Oryctolagus cuniculus: one gene and its partner. The protein of the gene in region 1 purifies or fractionates together with the protein of each later gene. This does not show direct contact. Links are inferred from orthologs where the notes say so. Each region holds a gene or a part of one and is shown on either strand. Other genes may lie near its edges.

Region 1 (3,823 bases):
TCTGCTTAATAAGGAAGCGTGAGGAAAGAGTGAGATGGACATTTATTATTTATTATGTTTTGGGGTCTTATCAGATGGCATCTCGAACTAGTCAGATTTACTTACTGTGCTTTGGGTCTTTTCACTACGGAGTAGTTTCTGAAGGCACTTCCAAAAGAAAATGGCAGGGATGCTTGCGAACAGTGGCCGCTTCTCTGGGGTAATTGTGCCTTCCAGAGTGTGGCGAGAGGCGGCCTTAGTTTGTACAAATGCTGATGCGTGGCCATCGCCCCATGTGGCCACTCCAGTTGGTTTGATGAGTACTCACTGCCCCTGTGAATTCAGAGACTCTCAAGGAAAGGGTGCTGCTCCCTTCTCTCTGAGTGGGGTGAGTTCACTGAGAACCCATAAATATCGCACCTTCCGGAGTCAAACTGCCCTTTGCAACTGACCATGCCTAATTAAATTACTGACTGGCTCTTGAGCCGTCTGATTACATCAGGTATTGTTTACCATGGTTTCCTAGATCTGGTACACCTGAAAGAAAAAACACGGTTAAAAGTGGCTTGTTCAGTAACTGTGGGTGAGAGCTGTAGGAGTCTTACGAGGAAGGACTCACAAGCATTTATCTTCATGATTAGATTTCCTGGATTTGCAAAACCTGGAATGGAACAATATTTGTTGGCCAAGCAACTAGCAAAGCCCAAAGAAAAAATTCCCATCATTGTAAGTTTGTTCATTTTTGTTTGCTTGCTTTGTAATTAAAGTTCTTTATTAAAACCGTAAAGCTAAGAGGGTTATTACTCTCTTGGAAAGTATTTTTAAACACATTAAATGTCCCCAAATAACTGATAGTATATGTTAGTATTTTAGGCATACTAAAGATAATTAGCATAAATTAATGCCTATCATTATCTTGTTTAGATATTCTTTATCTCTTGAATTAAAAGTATTGAACCGACAACACTCATAATATTCTATTAGTAATTTTTATTTTTGAAAGTATCTTGAAATTTTTTATGTTGTTTTTCTATCAGTCTATATATTTATCTAATAAACTTAATTTAAATATTTGGATTTCTACCCTTGCAAAAATACATGCATGTTATCAGAATTAGGTGCCTTTTCCAATATGTTGGAAATACTTAGTGTTTCTTCTAGTGAACAAGCAGCCAAATGATAATAAGGAGCTAGCAAATGTAGGAGTTAATGGCACTTAGCTTAGGTGACTGGGCATTTGGCGAAATGGCTAAGTCGCTCACATCCCCCATCACAGTACCTGGGTTTGATTCCTGGCTCTGGCTCCTGACTCCAGCCAACTGCTGATGCAGAGCTTGAGAGGCAGCAAGTCATGGTTCCACCCATGTGCGAGACCTTGATTGCATTCCCAGCTCCCAGCTTCAACCTCAGTGTACCCATAGCTGTTGCGGTTATTTGGGGAGTGAACTGGTAGACAGAGAATCTCTTTTTCTGCCTCTCAAATAGATTTTTTAAAAAATCTTAGAATACCTGGACTGTTATGTAACATGACATTGTTTCATACTATGACGTAGGCACTTTGGTTCACTGCATGTTTTGATTGCTGATAGATTTTCTATCTCAATGATCTCTAGCTGTATATTCCGAAACAGAATTCTAGCAGAGAGAGTCCAGGGAGCCAAGAGAAAGCGTTGGCCTGGTTCTTTGCTGGGAAGGTGTGGTAACCCTCTCTCTAGTGGAATTTGGCCCATGGGCCAGTCAAGGCTGCTTTTTGATCCCCAGTCACGGAGGGAGGTCCCCCAAGGTCTCTTTAATTCCTGCTCTGCAGCTTTAAGACAGCTTCCTGGATGTGGGCTTCATGGTTTGCTTTTAGAATCTTCTCTTTAACTCCTCATTCAGCTTCTCTGGTGCTCAGTCGCCTCCTGACCTGATAGCCTCAGGGTGACAGGTGCAAAGACAGCTCACCCTCCTGTAGGTCAGGGTGGCACTTCATCCTTCAGAGCTGATTGTGCGGAGATCTGGACTTTGGGGAAGGGTTAATAAAACCTGCTGCGGGGCTCGCTGACTTCCGTCCCTGTCCTGTTGTTGGCCTCTCGCACCTTTACCAAGAATAAGGACTGGGAGACGTCTCCCTTTCACACCTGCCTGGTTGTCTCCTTTAGCCCAGTCCATGCGGTTTTCTATGTACTTTATTCTGTGCTTCTTCCAGCTACAAGATCAAAATCTGTTTCATGAACTATTTTTGACCCTTTTTAGAACTCTGAATGGGTATATTTGCTAGAAATAATGGTCTGTTTACAGTCACTTTGTTGCTTTTCTCACCTGTTTCCTGGAAAATACCATATTTTCAATAGAATAAGGAATTCTGTTGCTTTTTATTTGTTCTTTTTTTAAAGATTTATTTATTTATTTATTTGAAAGAGTTACACAGAGGGAGAAGAGGCAGAGAGAGAGAGAGGCCTTCTATCCACTGATTCACTCCCCAATTGGCTACAACAGCTAGAGCTGAGCTGATCTGAAGCCAGGAGCCAGGGCCCTTTTTTGGGTCTCCCAGGCGGGTACAGGGGCCCAAGGACTTGGGCCATCTTCTCCTGCTTTCCCAGACCATAGCAGAGAGCTGGATTGGAAGAGGAACAGCCAGGCCTAGAATTGGCACTCATATGGGATGCCAGTGCTTCAGGTCAGGGCTTTACCCTGCTGGGCTGCAGCGCCGGCCCCTTTTTATTTGTTCTTTAATGATACTGTCCTACAGTCTCTGAAATCCATAACTGTGATCATGCTAGTTCTCTGTGTCCCCACATAGATTTTAGTTGGTTTTCATGCCTCATCCTCTCCACACCCTGCTAAAATTACTTAAATGGTCTAGTGCTGGCCTAATAAGCCTCACTTTTCAACCTTGGCCCCAGTTGTATATAGACAAGAAAGACAAGTGAAGAACAAGAGAGGCCTACCAAGTGGGCGTGATGCCTGGGACATGGAGTGTGAGCCTGCCCACTGTGCTGTGCACAAGCAGGCCAAGGAGAAAACAGCTAGCTGGCCTGATTCTTGCTGTGAGGCACATATACCACTGCCCTCCGTAGTAAAGCAGTGGACACAGGCTCTCACCAGTCTGATAAGCCATTTCTGTATTTAGGGCACAGCTACTCAAAGTTTACCAGTCTGCCATGAGATCAGTGCAGTGGGAGTGTCCTAGAAGGCTTGATGGCAACTTGAAATTATTGAGAAACCCACATGTGTAATGTTACACTTCACAAAACCGTTGGTCTATAATTGGACTTTTAAAAAGGAGTCTTTTATCACATACAGTTCGAGACACCTGGACTAGAGAGACAGACATTGTGTTCCAATCAACCAGCACTCAAGGCGGGGAGCTGGTCTCTTCTGTGCATGGACTGAGCACCCCTGGTGAGGGGCAGAAGGCTCTGTCCTGACACGGGAGTTCTTTAAACACATCTCACAGGAGTAGAGTCCACTTAGGTAGCTTCTCAGAAAGCAGCGAGAATGACCTCCCCAAGGGTTCTGAAATTCACTTCTGCTGGACTTTTGTGTAGGTTGGAGATTATGGCCCGATGTGGGTTTATCCTACCTCTACATTCGACTGTGTGGTAGCGGATCCCAGGAAAGGCTCCAAAATGTATGGTCTGAAGAGCTACATCGAGTACCAGTTAACACCCACGGTAAGTACCATCATCCAGAAAAGTTACGCCTGCCTTATTGGTGACAGCGTGCTTTTTTCTTTAGTTGGCACTGGTAACTTTTTCTTCTCTTTTCCTTATTTTGTAGAACACTAACAGATCTGTAAACCACAGGTATAAGCACTTTGACTGGTTGTATGAACGTCTCCTGGTGAAGTTTGGATCTGCCA
Region 2 (3,823 bases), on another chromosome or scaffold:
TTTTTGGTAAGACTGATTCTTGTTTCCTGTAATGAAAGGCATCTTTTTTTTTTTTTTTTTTTTTTTGACAGGCAGAGTGGACAGTGAGAGAGAGACAGAGAGAAAGGTCTTCCTTTGCCATTGGTTCACCCTCCAATGGCCCCCACAGCCGGCGCGCTGCGGCCGGCGCACCGCACTGATCCGTTGGCAGGAGCCAGGTACTTCTCCTGGTCTCCCATGGGGTGCAGGGCCCAAGCACTTGGGCCATCCTCCACTGCACTCCCTGGCCACAGCAGAGAGCTGGCCTGGAAGAGGGGCAACCGGGACAGAATCTGGCGCCCCGACCAGGACTAGAACCCGGCACGCCGCAAGGCGGAGGATTAGCTTAGTGAGCCGCGGCGCCGGTGAAAGGTATCTTCTTAAAGATGGTTTCAAAACTCTCTTCCTCATCACGTTGAAATTCACTAGACTGGGTAGCAGTAGATTAGAAAACTCAGCAAGACAGAGAGGAACAGGAAGCAGGCTAAGATTGTGTGCTTTACATTTTGCATTAAGACATATATATCTTTAAAATCTGTTGGTCTTCTGTGAATTGTGTAATGCTGGCTTTGGTTATGATGCAGGTCTGAGAACCATTGGAGTCATCACCAAGTTGGATCTTATGGATGAAGGAACAGATGCCAGGGATGTTCTAGAGAACAAGCTGCTGCCTCTTCGCAGGGGTAATGTACTGTGATGTATACAGCACTTCCGTGGATGATGGGGCTGAGAAACAATTGGGAAGCCACTTAGAAGATGTGGTGTAATGCCTTTTCAATTGAGAGGAACAAGTTTATCATTAGTTATCCTTTTTATGTAGTGGCACAGTATTCAAGTGAAGATCCAAAGGGAGAACTATTCCTCAAACTAACAGAAAGAAAAGAAACAGGAAAGGGAGGGGTTTCAAGGAGGGTTATAACTATTCATCATGGGCTGCTTAAATGTACTGTTATAAGTCTGATTGCAAATACTTCAAGATGTTTGTGGAAAAACAAGTATTATGAAATATTATGTATATATTTCAGAATTTTGGGCACCAAAATGAACTTAACTTTTAATGTTCCACTTTTACACAAACTTTTTAGGTACTTTTGTATTATGTCACAACCAGTGAGAGACATATTCTGTAAAATGTGCAGAGATTTTTAAGGAGGAAAACATTATTAAGGTGATGCTAAAATAATTACCATTAGCCTATTCAATTTTGTAAATGAAAAAAATTGTTGTAAATGAACTCAGTCTTAAACTGATCTTATTTTTGTTCAGTCTGAGAGCATGGCAATTCCTAGAGGAAGCACAGAAAGAGTGCCAAACTCCATAGCTTGTGCCTTATTTCAGGTTACGTGGGGGTGGTAAACAGAAGCCAGAAGGACATAGACGGGAAGAAGGACATCAAGGCGGCCATGCTGGCAGAGAGGAAGTTTTTTCTTTCCCACCCGGCTTACAGACATATTGCTGATCGAATGGGGACCCCACACCTGCAGAAGGTCCTGAATCAGGTAAAAATGTTCTTTCAAGCAACAAGAACCTTTATTACACACAAGAGAACTATTGGAATTCATATTTCTAATTTTTAATTCACTTTTTTCCCAAACACAAGACATTTAGGTTAAATGATAGAAATTAAACAATGCTTATAGATACTTAGAGCCACACTGTTACTTTTCTTAGTGAATAAAAGTCACCTTAATATTATTGAAAGAACAATTATGAAAGCAGAAACATGTACTTGGGAACAAGGAATAGGGGATGTACATTTGAGTGTGCATTCATTCACAAAATGTAGTTACCTTAAGAAGCTGAGCTTGTGTAGATCTGTAACAGTGATCTCTAGGAATCTGCATTTAAAATACCACTCTAATGATTAGGCTAGATTTTCTGTTGAAAATGTTATCTGGTTTTGTTTAGGAATGATTTATTTTGTACTTTAAACTTTTCCAAACAGTAAATTCTATTGCCAGTCATCTCAGAAGCTTTTCCTGATAACCTGTTACCCCAAAATAAATAAATTTGGGTCTTCTGCCTCCCTTCTTCCCACCATGTACTGTGTACTTCTCTTCCTTGGTTACATATTTTCCACCCTTATTGGAGTTGTGTCATTGTCATTTGAGTTTTAATTATGTTGACTTTGTATGGTGAGCCATGTTCCTCACAAATATTCTCATAAGTTTTGCTTAAACTCTTATCTATAACTTAATCAGCCAATCTAACAGTTTCGTTCTGATTGTTAGCTTCTTGAAGGTATCAGTAGAAGCTGTCACAATATGTGACATTGTGTCTGAACCATTCAGGCAAAATAATTGAAGAAGTTTTAGAAAATAAAAACTAGTTGTATCCTTTTTTTTGTTTATGCCTTTTGTGGTATTTATAATGTCCCTTTTTATTGCTGAATAATATTCCACTTATTTTAGTTTTTTTAATTTATGAATTGTTTGTTTCTAAAATTTCCTATTTAATTTTTTATTTTCTATTTTGTGTGTTTCTATGTATAAAAATAATTCTAAAATTTCTAATTAATTTTTTGACAGATTCTATATAGCTCATAGATACAGTTCTAAGAATATAATGATATTCCATTTCTCCTTTCCTCTCTCCCTCTCACCCTCTCCCCTCCCCTTTTTTCCTTCTTTTTCACTTTTTGATAGCAAATTTTATTTTATTTTATTTATTTTTTTGACAGGCAGTGTGGACAGTGAGAGAGAGACAAAGAGAAAGGTCTTCCTTTTCCATTGGTTTACTCCCCAATGGCCGCTGCGGCTGGCATGCTGCAGCCGGCGCACCGCGCTGATCCGAAGTCAGGAGCCAGCTGCCTTCCTGGTCTCCCATGCGGGTGCAGGGCCCAAGGACCTGGGCCATCCTCCACTGCACTCTCAGGCCACAGCAGAGAGCTGGAATGGAAGAGGAGCAACTGGGACAGAATCCGGCTCCCCAACCGGGACTAAAACCCGGGGTGCCGGCGCCGCAGGCGGAGGATTAGCCTGTTGAGCCGTGCACCGGTGGCCTGATAGCAAATTTTAAATTCACATTACAATAAAAAGACTTAATGCTTCACCAAATAAAATAAAACAATAAAATACCCCTAGTCTAGTAAGAATATAGAAAATAGCTGTAAACAATAGTTGAATGGAAAAATGACCATTTCCCCCATATAATAAATTTTAAAAGTAATCACAAATCATTAAAACTATAGTGCTATAAAATTCTTAACCACTGGTTTGACAAAGGTATAAAACAAAGTTTTATAAAAGTACATTTGCAGTAAAATATACAGTAAAATATGCAGTAAATACACATAAGCATGCCTTTCTTTTTGTTTGTTTTTTTGAATTTTAGCTCTCATATATAAGAGAGGACATGTGGCATTTGTATTTCTGTGTTTGGCTTATTTTATTCAACATGATGTCCTCCAGTTGCATCCATTTTGCTTCAAAAGACAGAATTTTAGTCTTTTTTAATAGCTGAATCATATTCCATAGTGTGTGTGTGTGTATATATATATATATATATATATATACCACATTTTCTTTATCCATTCATCTTATGATGGGCACATTGGTTGATTTCAAATTTTGGCTATTTTGAACAGGGCTGCTATAAACATTGTGATGCAGGTATCTCTTGATACATTATATTCAAGTCTTTTTGCTATATTCTCAGTAGTGGGATTGCTGGATCATATGGCAAGTCTAGGTTTTTAAGAAATCTCCATACTGTTTTTCACAGTGGCTGTATTAATTTACATTCCCACCAACAGTGTATAAGTGTTCCACTTTGTCCACATCCTCGCCAGCATTTGTTATTCTCT

The links.
Region 2: the proteins of SNX9 (region 1) and DNM3 purify together in Homo sapiens (co-immunoprecipitation; 3 studies listed by BioGRID and IntAct, counting the BioPlex papers as one, with this or other methods). This does not show direct contact. The link is inferred for Oryctolagus cuniculus from reciprocal best matches to the Homo sapiens genes SNX9 and DNM3.

The regions. Positions count from the first base shown.
Region 1 is NC_091436.1:9,789,506-9,793,328, reverse strand, and holds part of SNX9 (sorting nexin-9), read left to right. Parts: intron 1-620; coding exon 621-705; intron 706-3,509; coding exon 3,510-3,635; intron 3,636-3,741; coding exon 3,742-3,823. UniProt on the Homo sapiens protein: Involved in endocytosis and intracellular vesicle trafficking, both during interphase and at the end of mitosis. Required for efficient progress through mitosis and cytokinesis. Required for normal formation of the cleavage furrow at the end of mitosis.
Region 2 is NC_091438.1:26,455,883-26,459,705, reverse strand, and holds part of DNM3 (dynamin-3), read left to right. Parts: intron 1-602; coding exon 603-701; intron 702-1,356; coding exon 1,357-1,517; intron 1,518-3,823. UniProt on the Homo sapiens protein: Microtubule-associated force-producing protein involved in producing microtubule bundles and able to bind and hydrolyze GTP. Most probably involved in vesicular trafficking processes, in particular endocytosis.